Linked DNA regions of Mus musculus: regions 1, 2 and 4 are each reported to be linked to region 3. Evidence: microRNA targets listed by miRTarBase, many of them from high-throughput screens and not tested one by one. Region 3 holds a microRNA gene; each other region holds the end of a gene's coding sequence.
The links. Region 3 holds the annotated microRNA mmu-miR-298-5p (GGCAGAGGAGGGCUGUUCUUCCC, at 956-978, opposite strand). A microRNA usually pairs through its seed, bases 2 to 8, with sites in the 3' UTR of a target mRNA and lowers its output. Matches are read on the target gene's strand: a 7mer-m8 pairs with bases 2 to 8, a 7mer-A1 pairs with bases 2 to 7 and ends in A, and an 8mer does both.

Region 1: the mRNA of Castor2 is a reported target of mmu-miR-298-5p. Seed matches in the 3' UTR shown: 7mer-m8 at 53-59.
Region 2: the mRNA of Trub1 is a reported target of mmu-miR-298-5p. Seed matches in the 3' UTR shown: 7mer-A1 at 2,157-2,163, 7mer-m8 at 2,812-2,818 and 7mer-m8 at 3,052-3,058.
Region 4: the mRNA of Zfp365 is a reported target of mmu-miR-298-5p. Seed matches in the 3' UTR shown: 7mer-m8 at 701-707 and 8mer at 1,068-1,075.

The regions. Positions count from the first base shown.
Region 1 is chr5:134,137,852-134,140,963 of GRCm38, reverse strand. It overlaps Castor2 (cytosolic arginine sensor for mTORC1 subunit 2), which reads right to left. Exons shown (of 9, transcript NM_030719.3): 8 at 2,834-2,928; 9 at 1-2,735. The coding sequence ends at 2,670. Among named protein-coding and RNA genes, the nearest start is that of Rcc1l, 37 kb to the left of the region's middle.
Region 2 is chr19:57,487,631-57,490,742 of GRCm38, forward strand. Trub1 (TruB pseudouridine (psi) synthase family member 1) reads left to right here. Exons shown (of 8, transcript NM_028115.3): 8 at 379-3,112. The coding sequence ends at 638. Among named protein-coding and RNA genes, the nearest start is that of 6720468P15Rik, 19 kb to the right of the region's middle.
Region 3 is chr2:174,266,598-174,269,709 of GRCm38, forward strand. Mir298 (microRNA 298) reads right to left here and starts at 988; the gene lies at 907-988. It overlaps Mir296 (microRNA 296), which reads right to left and starts at 528; the gene lies at 450-528.
Region 4 is chr10:67,885,967-67,889,078 of GRCm38, reverse strand. Zfp365 (zinc finger protein 365) reads left to right here. Exons shown (of 5, transcript NM_178679.2): 5 at 1-2,974. The coding sequence ends at 249. Among named protein-coding and RNA genes, the nearest start is that of Zfp365, 25 kb to the left of the region's middle.

The sequences.
Region 1 (3,112 bases), not on the chromosome of region 3:
AAAAAAAAACTTAGGTGTGATGGCACACACCTTTAATCCCAGCACTCGGGAGGCAGAGGCGGGTAGAGTCCTATCAATTCAAGGCCAGCCTGGTCTACAAAGAGAGTTCCAGGATAGCCAGGGCTATCTAAAGAGACCCTGCCTCAAGAAAACAATACAACAATAACAACAAAAGTCAGGTAAGATGCCAGGTCTATAGCTTTCTATGGAGAAGGGACTTGGGAGGGAGGCAGGCTGGGACAGATGGGTTTACCAGACAAAGGTTTTGGGGTAACCCTGAGGGAGGGAGCCACTGTTAACAAAACCAAAAACCAAAACCAAAAACAAAACCCAACAACAACAACAACAACAAAAAAACCCAATCCCTCCTCTGGATCAGTGCCCCCCCTCCCAAATAAAATGAAGGCATCCAGAGCTCTAGGCTGTGGAAATGGGGGTACAGTAGCTATGAAGCAGACTACACTGGCCCTCTCAGCCTGCCCCACTTGCGGTAGGTTGTTGGTTCTGTCTCCCCTCCAGGCTGGCCTCAGGACCCCAGGGCTTTTTCACTCATCGTATTGCCTACGTATTTGAATTAAAAATATACGGTGGCTCAAAATGTCCCCGAGTGTGCGCACATGAGGTGGGGGCCCTTGCCTGTGTCCTGCGCACACAGAATATATTAACATATATATTGCTCAAGTATATATGCTATTTACAGAATATATCTCTATCAACATAAAACATGTATTTATAGGTGTGTACAATACACAGTCTCATCCTAGCAAGTCTAGGGGTCCACACAGGGGGCAGGGGGCCAGCACACTTATATGGTGGGAAGGGATGACTGGAAAGGGAGACAGGAGGGGTTCTGGAGATGTGTACCCCGGACAATCAAGGCCTTCCAGAGAGAGAAAAAGGGGACTCAGGGGCCTCACTATAAAGCCCCGCCCACTTGGCCATTTCCCATTCGGGACCAGAAAATAATAAGATTTGGTTTTAAGGGTTTTGTGCAAAAGGAGTTAAAAAACAACAACAACAACAACAACAACAAAAAAAAAAAACCAAAACCAAAACCAACCAGAGTTGATTTTGATTAACATGCTGGGTTCTGGCTTCTACATGATTCTAGAAGAGTTCCTCTGGGTGTGTTTCTGTGGCCCAGAGAGGAGGGAAACACAGTTTGTACAAGACTGTGCAGGGGTAGATAAACATTCCCTCCTCTGACCTTGTTGTTGGAGATCGTGAAGCACAGGCTCGACAAAACACCCCAAGAGCAAAAAGTCTGGTGGACCCCCCGCAGTCCCAGCTAACAGCGCCATATGAAGGTGGTGGAACACTGGCATGCCCTGCAGGGGGTGCTATGGGGTCCTGGTGTCTTGTATCAGAGCTCTGCTCCCACTAGCCCTCCTCAGAAGACACGGCCAAGAGTCTTACGATACATCTTTGCATTTGTGTCTGTCCCCAGAGACACAGGGTGCTAAGTCTCACTGAACACTGGGTACCCTAATAAGACTCAAACAGGCTCCATCCCCTCCAAACAAAACTACTCTTTCCCCAGCCACCTGTATGCAAAGACAACGAAGAAGAAACCCCGCAGGGGTAATGTCTCTCTACAAATGCTTGAAGATAGCTGCCTCCCAGGTTATCACCGTGACCACAGATTGCTGTGTGTATTTCGGGCAGGTATATGAGCTGTGGGGGCTGAGGCCTCTTTATCCCCTAAAAGTGGGGCAGAGAGGATGATGGGGAATTCTCTAGGCTGGTCTAAGTGACAGCTGGGGAGGTGGGACATGGCCCAAGGCACCCTAGGCCTGGGCAGGTGGGGATGCCCACCGCTGAAAGAAGCCGAGTCTTTGCTTGCCCATGATGGGTCTGGGGAGAGCGAACAAAGGACAGATAGAAGCTGGCGCTCTAGGCTGGTGGGAGAGGGGGTGTCCTGGGATCCCCTCCAGGGACAAGTGCTCTGGGGGGAAGTTTGGCCCAGGGCCCCTCTTGGCAGTTGTAGAGGAAATCGACACAGGCCCTGTGTGGTCAGCAGGTGGGGGTCTAGAGTCTTGCCTTTCCTCCCCAGCTTAGGAGTAGGAACCCCACTGCTACTGTCTGAGGCTCACTGGCCATTATGACCTGAGGGTGGCCTGCTGACCTCCATTCTGAGGGAACCAGCCCCTGAACCTCTAAAACTAGAGCAGCAACCATAACCATCAATTCAAGGGGGGGCTCACGGGGGCTTCCCCAGCTCTGTACCCCCAATCTTGCTCCACCAACTCCCTAAGATGTCCCTAGGTGCATCAGGACCCCGATCCCAGTGTCTCACAGGAGGTGCCAGCTTCCTTTGGTGTTTGCTGCGGGCTGTAGGTGAGGCCTTGGGCTGGTCCCAAGTGTCCTGGGCCTCGGAGACCGCTTTCTGGGGTGGAACTTGGGGGAGGAAGATGGGCACACCCCCACCGAGCGGAAACAGAGTCATTACTGAAAAGGCTGGGGACTCTGGAAGGCAGGAGGAGGATGTGGGGGTGGCCCTAGCTCAGGCCCAGGCCTGGAGGAGTCAGGAATCAGGGGAGTGTCCCAGAGGCCCCTTCCTTAAAGGTCCTGGGGCCGAGCTTTCAGTCCATAGGGAAATACTGCAAGAATAACCTTCGTGGGGGGAAAGGCCCAGGTGGGCTGTGGCAGGGAGGAGCCCAGAGACGAGTCTAATGCTTCCCTGCTTGACTGACCTTCAGGGCATGGATAACCCCACTGATATTCTCTTCTGGAACCTGCAGGGCAGGACGCAAAGGGGGGAAAAAAAAGTGTGTGAGCCCAGGTACCTGGTCCCTACCCATACAGTCCCCACCTGTCCCCAGGGGCCACTTACCAATGCATGGTCGAACTTGAAAGTACTGATGTAATATGCTGGGATGTCTGCAGCTGCCAAGGGCTCTGAGATCTGGGCTACAATCCCACATTCATCTAGGGAAACACAGGTGCTCAGAGAAGGAGCTCTACCACAGAGCCACGCCCCCAGCCCCTCACTGGGGGATTCTAGGCAGGGGCTCTACCACTGAGCCACGCCCCCAGCCCCTCCCTGGGGGATTCTAGGCAGGTGCTCTACTGCTGAGCCACGCCCCCAGCCCCTCCCTGGGGGATTCTAGGC
Region 2 (3,112 bases), not on the chromosome of region 3:
CTTGTAAAAATTATTTACATTGATACAAATCATTTAAAAACAAAAAACAAAAACTGGAAGCCATAATCTTACAAACCCAGAAAGTGCCTTCTCTGCCTCTGCTGTCCCCTGATCACATGAGTGGACAGGTCACATTATCCTATTTGCAAGGTAGTGGGAATATTTATGTCCCGGGCTTGCTTCAAATGCCAAGAAAGGAAAACAGGTATAAATTTACATCCCTAAATCATCTTTCCTGCTGAAGCAGTGACTTACCTCAGGCTCTGGGCTCTGGTGCTGGGCTGGCACCCTGGGAGGTCAGAAGTTCTGTTGACTGGAAGACTGTGGATTGTGAACGCCACGCGGCTCATCTTGCGTTTTTCCTTTTGGGTACCGTAGAGCTCTCTTCCTGTGCCAGCGTGCTGGAGCTGACCCGCACCAAACAGGGGCCCTTCACACTTGCACAGCACGCCCTCCCCGAAGACAGGTGGACCATCGATGACATCGAACAGTCCCTCGAGCGCTGCACGTCTCTTCTGCCGGAGGAGCTGACATTTAAAAAACTAAAATCTGACAACTCCAGTGACCAGGTTATAAGCTGTGGATATATAACTCTCAGGGACACAAAGAGAGAAGATGACGCAGTTAAGACACTGTGAGGCCGGCCTGGGAGGATCATTTCCTGGTTGGTGTCTGTCCCGACCAGGAATGCCCATACACCTCTTGAGTTCTTTGCAAGATGTCTTAATGTCTCTGAATGATGGATCTGATTGGATTCAGATAAATAAGTTTTCTGAATTTGATCTTCCCTTAGTCTTTTTCCTATGAAAAAGTTAAACAATATTCTAATGACAGAATCCTGAAGTCTGAGCTGCAGGTTCCACTGGTCTCACAGAAGTGTCAAACTTGCTTTGCTTAGACTCGGGGAGGGGGCGTTCGTTGTTTTGAAATTCTCTGAATACATTTGAAGTGTTCAGTGTCGAGCTGTCCTGTGTGTTTGCAGAGCCTATGGCTGCTGGAAGGTGCTGGTGGGCTGTACTCAGCTGTGACTGTGTTTCTTAAATCCCGGGAATCAATACGTTGTCCTAATACATATCTGTAAATGCACAAACTCCTGCTTTGGCCACTGACAGAATGTAAATAGCGTGAGACGTGATTCATTTCAGATCCTGTATTCAGCAGAGCTCAGCTCCTGTAGCCGTGGACTGTGGCAGCTATTTCTGTGGTCAACCACATGGTATCAAAGTACCAAAAATGTGATTTTCTAGAATATAAACTAAAGAATGTATCTTGAATTAAAATGCTCTCCTGCCTGTTCGTTAGCGCCTCTCTGTGACTGCGGAACCCTGGTCCAGTGACATGGTTTCTGTAGTTATGAAGAATATGATCACATTTTCAAACAGCAGATTTTATGAGTGCTTCATTGTTTTGTTATAGTAATATCTATTCTTTTATTGTGTGTTTTGAGTTCTTGAAGACAAGGAAACTGAGGACACTGGAGAGGCGAAGACACACTGCCTGTCCAGCAGGCACGGAGTGTAGATTCTGCACCCACCCACAGCAGGCGGCTCTCGCTACTTCAGCTCCAAGGGACCCAGCACCCACTTGTGGCCTGTGGGCCCCTGTGAACGAACACCCATGCCTCCACACACATACATAAAATAATTACTTTAAGATATCGAGATTTAACGCAGGATGGCCCCACTCATTATGTAGCCAAGACTCCTCCTGTATCTACCTCCCAAGTGTAGAGGTTAGAGGCATAGGCCACTGACTCCTGCAGGAATGTGGAAAGGTATTGTACAGCTGTGGCAATAGTCAAGGCTTCCCTCATTTACTAACGTATATTTTCAAAAAGAAGATTTATTAAACATTCCGTAAAGTACAAGTTTTTATATTTTTCATACCTTTCCTCTTAGAGGTTGTTGCCTCTAAAATATTTTAAATAAGCAGACTGACGGTTTTATTGTGGTTAATGTAATGCAAACCTAATATAAACAGTTGGGTGCTTCAACAGGGCATTCTCAGCAGACTGGCAACGTGTTTTAATAAAAACGTTAATGTTAACTCAGGGCAGGTAACCTGGCTCAGCTGGTGACACCAGGACCAATGACTTGAGCTTTGACCCCTGGGCAACCTTTGTGAGAACCTCTACCCCAGCAAGTTGTCCACAAACACTCTGCAGTGCGCGTACACCGTGCCCATCCCCCACACATAAAAAACCAAAAGAATGAAATGTTTTTAAATTTAAAAACGAATTCTTAGTATGAGACTGAAAAATACAAGTGTTGTATTATGGTAAATTGATGAATTGGAAGTTACACAGCTTTGAGCCTGATGTCACGGTGAAGCTTTAATCCCAGCACTCAGGAGGCGTGGCCATGTGGAGTTCTGTGAGTTCCAGGTCAGCCAGGACTACACAGGACTTCGGAGTGGGACCCTGTATGTTTATATTTTTATATATTCCTATCTAATGTCCTGTAATTCGTGTAACCAAAGGTGATGTTAGATCCTGCTGCCCGTTAGAACGGACTAGGCTGTACATGGTATGTCTTCATCATGAACAGCTCAAGCCTGAATAGACCATACAGCCTAGAGGTTTCTTTTTTCTTTTTTCTTTTACTGGATATTTTATTTATTTACATTTCAAATGTTATCCCCTTCCCCGGTTTCCCCTCCAGAAACCCCCAATCCCACCATCCCTCCCCCTGCTTCTATGAGGGTGTTCCCCCACCCACCCACCCACTCCCATATCCCTGCCCTGGCATTCTGGGGCATCGAGCCTTCACAGGACCAAGGGCCTCTCCTCCCATTGATGCCCTACAAGGCTGTCCTCTGCTACATATGCGGCTGCAGCCATGGGTCAATCTATACTCTTCTCATAGTGAAGAGTAAAATTTATGAAAAAGCAAGCAAGTTCAAGAAATGGCAGTCAGTCTTTTCCTTTTGTTTGGAAATGCTGGAGAAATTATGCAGGTTTTAAAAATGCCCATAATGTTCACCATCTTAATGCACTCATTTTGGATTTTATTTTTATATTGCATTTTCCTCTTTATTTACATAATTCAGGCTCCTCTGCTCTTACTGATTCTTGAGACGATTTTATCTGGGCACATTTAGTCTTCACGAATAT
Region 3 (3,112 bases):
GAGTCTAAGGCATAAGGATTCCAAGTTTTAAGGCCAGTATGGATAATTCAGTGAGATCTTGTCTCAAAAATAAATAAATAAATAAATAAAAAAGGGGGGCTGCCATGAAGACCGGTGTGGATCTGACTGATGTCCATCCCACTCCTGTAGGAAAGAAAAGATAAGTGAAAGGAAAGCAAACAACCACATCAAGGAAGGTCTGGTGCTAGGAAGCAAGTTTCCCAGCCAAGGATACAGAAGAGTAGGGAGATACTACACAAGGTGGTACAAGCCCAGGGAAGCAGGGCACTATTAGCCTAGAGCAGACAGGGTGGGGTCAGGTCTCTGGTACCCCATGAGCACTAACTGGGGGGCAGGACTAGTCTAGCAGAGGCTGCCACTGGGATCAAGCCAAAGACAGCAAGCATTCTCTAGAGCCCCAAGGGACTACTTACCATGCGACGCTCTGCGGACACCTTCAGGAGAGCCTCCACCCAACCCTCTGAAGCGAGCACAACAGGATTGAGGGGGGGCCCTCCAGAAAGGCCCTCTTGTCACCTTCCACATAGGCTGTTCTGTGTGCACACAGATGGAGATCCCCTCTTAGGGGCCCTGCCTCTGTCTCCCCAACCCCAAGACCCTAGGAGGGTCTCTTTCTGTAGTCTCGAATGCCCACTAACCTGGATCTTGGCCCGCTCACCCGCTTCCCAGCTACGTGCGCTCAGAAGCCACTGCATCGACAATGGGAAGGTGGCAGTCTTAGTAGTAGGCTCAGGGCATTATGACAAGACCTCAAAGTTCTCCATGGCTTTTAGAAACATCTATCTCTGACTCCACCAGCTACCTTGATGGGTGGGGGAACTTAGAGGATGAGTTCCGTGTGTCAACCAGCAACATTCTCCTGGAGATCGGAAGGAAGCTGTTGGCCCACTCCTAAGCTGAGAGAAGGCTAGTTCCTCCCAGTCATAAAACTCAAGGGAAGAACAGCCCTCCTCTGCCAAAGGCCTGGGCCTCTTATGCCTCTTGGTGTCTCTTTCAAGCACGGCAGGAACGTCCCAGCCTACCTCAAATAGCTGTGGTGCTCAGGAAGCAGTCAATTGGGCAGGAGCTAGTTAGTGGGGGTCCAGAGACACTCATCTCATGGCCAGATCTGTCTATGACCACTCCATCCAATGGACTCACTCACTTGCATGTAGTAGCACAAAGAGGGCCATGGTGTGGCAAGTATCCTGTACAGTAAACCCTCTTGTTCTATCAAGGTGCCATTATGAACCAATCAAACCATTTCTAAGCAGCCCTGTAGATTCCCACGCTCCAAGAAGGATCCACCTTGCTGGGCCTCTGCTCCAGCAAGACCCACCTCCCAACTCAAATGCCCCACCCCATGGGTGCTGACTGGGTCTCTGTGAGGTGAAAAATCAATCCATACCTGAGGAGGAAGAACCCCCAAGTTCTCCTACTTAGCAAACCTTTTCCTCAGGACTGAATGTTGTGCTCACAGCAGAAGCAGCTGAAGAAGTGCAGGCTCCAATCCTTGAGGCTCCCCATCACACAAGGCTTCAAAGGCAGGACTGTGCTGAGAGCTCAGAGGTGCTTAGAACAGAGAGATGGGGTAGGGAATGTTAAGACATAAACAAAACAGACACACAGCCGCTAAGGTCATAGTTTTAAGCTCTTCAACTTAATGGTTCTGTCCTAGTAGCCAAACAGCCATCAGAAGACATATTTATGGGCAATCTTTTGGCTACTGTCTGACCATGTGAGACACAAGAGCCATGTTTTTGAAAACACAGGTCCTTTTCTAATGAATGCAGGTCGTTAACGAAATAGGCTTGGAAGTCATCTTCTAAGGCCTTTGTCCATGACCCTAGACAAATCATCTTCCCAGAGTTCACTTGTACGGGGCCCTCAGCCAGGGCAAGCACTGAGGACAAGAAATCAAGTCTAGAGACTTCAGAAAAGGCTTCCTTTCTCTTTTCTGAAACTCTTTGGTTGAGCAGAGAAGAGAGACGGAGCAGAGCCATCATGCTCCCACGGGTGCAGTAGAGCAACAGTGGGAGGCAGAAGCAAACAGAAGAACAGTGAGGCCCATCACAGAAAGACACATCTGATGGACACCCACCCACCCTTGATCCCAACCATCAACATGGACAACCAACCCAGGCACCCATAGGTAACAAGGCTGGGACAGCTGGGGATGGTGTCAGGCCCAAGAGCTGCTCAGCACAGAAGGGTCACAGGAATCCTGCGCTAAGTGGCTCTCAGAAAAGGGGTGCATCACCACCAAGCTGTGAGGGGCTGAGGTACTTTGTACTCCCTCTGAAGTCCTCCCCCCAGAGGAAGAGCACAGTTTTAGTGTGAGCCCTTTGCGGAGTCCTCTCCCCTCTGTGCAGTTGTTCCCAATACATCTGACTTGGCGGCTAGAGATGTGGCTCCAAGTGTTGGCCATATAAGCCCCTTTCCCATCACTCAGAAAACAGAGAAATGCCAGGAGGTACACGTAGCTCTCCAGGCTGCCAAGAAGGTGAGCTGGTGACTTTAGAGGTGCTGCGAGAGAAGCTACTGTAAGCGGGCCCCATCATCTTCAAGGACACTCTAGAGTTGTTCCTTCAAAACTGTGTAGCACTCAGTCCAGCTCTCAGCTGCAAGGAGAGAGGATGCTCTGTATCTTCACTTGGGGTGGATGTCTGTCTTATCTGTCCAGCAGACTACAAAGACCCATCCCTAGCTACAGGCTGAGTTGCAAAAGAGCTGAAGATCCCACAAGTACGAGGGAGGGTGCCTCTTGCTTACACTGTCAGAGGCCCCAGAGAAAGCCTCTCTGACTTGACCGTTTCGGTGAACATTGCCCCAAATCCTCATTCGAGGGTAGCTCAGACCTCCATCAGCCCCAGTCACCCCTCAGCTTCTGCTCACATGAAGAACCACTTGACTCCTGAGTGTACCAGAGCCCCTGCAAGGGCAGCTAGGAGCCACGAGCCACTCCTCCAAGTAGACACCTCACATGTGGCCCTCAGTGCTTGTTAAGTGTGCTCCTATGTGCCTTCCTATAGCTCCCAGCCAGCTCATCCCAAACCTATGCCCTCAGCCCCAGCGGCTATCTCCCTCACAGCTCTGCTGCACCGAGGTCTCT
Region 4 (3,112 bases), not on the chromosome of region 3:
CAGCATTCTGTTTGCAACCATCCTGAGATGAGGGCCCATTTCCATCTGAAGGGGAGAAGCTACCTGAAGAAAGCCAAGGATGAGCGAGCCGGGATGCAGCCCGCCAAGGCCATTCACGAACCGGCTGAGTCTCCAAGAGAATTCTTCAGACCAGCCAAGAAAGGGGAACACCTGGGTCTGAGCCGGAAAGGGAATTTCAGGCCCAAAATGGCTAAAAAGAAGCCTACAGCAATCGTGAATATCATCTAGAGCTTGGGTGGCTCGGAAGCATCACCACGGGGCTTACCAAATGATGTTCCAGAGTCCAACAGCGTTGTCCTTTTGGACATGTAGCCGTAGGAACGCAGGGAACACAACAAACAGGGTCACTCTGATTAACCAGAATGTAAAACAACCGGTTTCAGGAAACACGAGCGGGTAACTTCTTAAATAATTGGGCCAGTTTCTCGCAGACCTGGCACCCGGGGTTCCTCTACCCAGTGCCCATTAGTACGTGGGCCTCACAAGATGCCAGACTCTGGTATCCACTGCTCTCTGAATTATGAGGCAAGGAATGTGACTGTGAAGTTCTTCTACTTTAAAGAAAAATAGTATTTTTTGGTGTTCTGAGACAGGGCCTTGTTATGCTATGTAGTCCTGGCTGGCTTGGAGCTTTATATATATATACCAGGCTAGCTTTGAACTTGCAGCAATCCTCCTGCCTCTGCCTCCTGAGTGCACAGGTGTGCGCTACCACACCCAGCTGGGAGTGTAAAGTTCTTACCAAGAGCAGTGAAATAAAAGCAGAGCTTTTGTGGTTTGCGTGTAGACGCCCTTTGATACATTTGAAAGTCTCTACGGTAGAGGTTCGTTCCTGTTACCCTTGAGGATTCTGGTTAATCAAGATTTTAATCTCCGTGTGGGTTACAGGCCGTGTTTAGTTAGACCTCGGTTCTCACTTTGCCAGGTGGCTTTTGGGGTTGTTTGATTCACATCTGGGTCCTCCAGGGCCTATTTATTCAGGTCTGGGTGCACCCCTCCTGCCTTCTTTGGCAAAGCACGCTGCACCCCCAAGAGCTGTCTACCGGCCTCTGCAGAGATAGCTGCTAAAACCCTTGGGGTCAGCAGCATCTTTGATGTGGTGCCCAAAATGCTTGATGTGCTAGAGGGGGGCACACTCAGTGTACCATGGCCATCCTGGCCATGCTGTGGGCACGCCCACCATTCTTCTCCCACCGGCTACTCTGGAAGGCTTGCTACCGGTTACCTGTGAGCATGCTCTTTGCTAACTTCCGTTTCAACCCGGAAGCTCACTTTGCCTCCTCTTGCTTCTTTAGCCGGTGTACACTTGACCCCCTCCCAGCCACACCTCTGGGGTGTTCATTGTGCAGTGCATTCTATTGTAATTTCAGATGATAAAGAATGCATGCGGACTATGACCTGTGATACTACCCTCCCCAAATGACACTGTTCCTATTAAAGAAAAAAAAAACTTTAAAAAATCTCCTGGTTTAAAATTTTCTTCCAGAAGGAATTTATATATTTTTTTCCTTAAATTAAGCAACACCATCAGGTCTCTAGAGTGTATTTGTGCTGACATTCTTTCTAAAACAGGAATAATGTTGTCCATAAGTATATACATATATATATTACATACGCTATATATATGTCAAGTATATGAATAGTTTATTTTTAAATACTCCTGGAGAAAGTGTGTGTTTGTGGTGGGTGGCTTTAAAACTATATAGCTTTGTTTCTGTAAATCAAATTCCTTTACTTTAAAAATTAAGATTGTAACCTGACTAACACTTGTAGAATTATTGTTATTGCAACAAGCATCTGATTAGCGTATTACATTAAAATAGATAATAAAGCAGTTCCTTGGGATGACAATAAATTGAAAAGGATAACTCATCGTTTTCAGATACTTTGAACCTGTCCTTGTGGAGGAGAGGTTTCTGTGTGAGTCTTCACTGACTTCCGGCCTATGGGAGCAGATCTTCTGTGTGGTGTGCAGGCAGATTCCAAGTTGGGGAAAGAAACAGCTGCGTATCATATCACTGTTGAGGCTGACGTTGTGAAAGCTGTAATGTTATTATTTATCTGGATAAGAAATCTCCGCCATAGTTATTTATTGTTGATGTTTATATCATGGTTGCACTTTTGCTTTGTCCACACTGAAAACGTGACTTGCTGATTGTATCGCATGCTCCCCGTCCTGTAGTGTGTGCAGTAACAACACCTCAGCTTTGACAAACATATGGACAGATTTGTTTCCTCTTTTATTTAAAGTAAGTCATTTTTTGGTGTTCCTTTAAAGAGCCTAGAAGGAAGGACAGCCCTCTTTGACAGTGGTCCATGCTCGTCTTTGGATATAACCTTGTACTCTATATACACTACTCAAGACAAATAGTTTTAAGATTGACTTACTGAATTTAAAAACATCTTTTAAGTTTCAGCTGCATTCTGATCCCCATAGAAGGAAATGTGTTAAGTATAACAGACTCCCTAAAGACATAAATCTGCTGTTGAAGTATGGGAGCTGTTTTAACGGAAGGATCATTCACCTACATCATGGCTAAGTTCCATTTATATGTCATCTACACACACACACACACACACACACACACACACACACGCTCTCGAGTCCCCTCAGGCAATCGACCTTAGATTTGAAGCAGTGACTTTTTAAACAAATCACCAAAGTTTCTGGGAAACTGTTATCAAGAATTAACTGAGGTATACATTGAATTTTATTATTTATTTTGTAAGGGGAAAAGATCTTCATTTGAACTGTTGTGTCAATGCCCCACCCTCTCCCCAAACTATAACAGATTCTTATGTGTAAGTGCGGCTTGCTTGGAAGCTGTATTCCAGTATGCTGCAGGGCCAGTCAAATGTATAGATGTTAGAGTATTTCTGTTCCCAGGATGGAAAAAAAGAGAAGTTTTTAGATTATGAAATACTATGATAATAAAGCTATATTTCTGACTAACACTTTGGTCTGTTCCTTCTAGGTCAAGTGTTTTGTTTTTTTTGTTTTTTTTTGAAAGTCACATTTATTGCTCCACTAACAGCAAACAAAACTATGCTTCACAAATAAACTGTTCCTTTTGTACATAATGAGCATGCC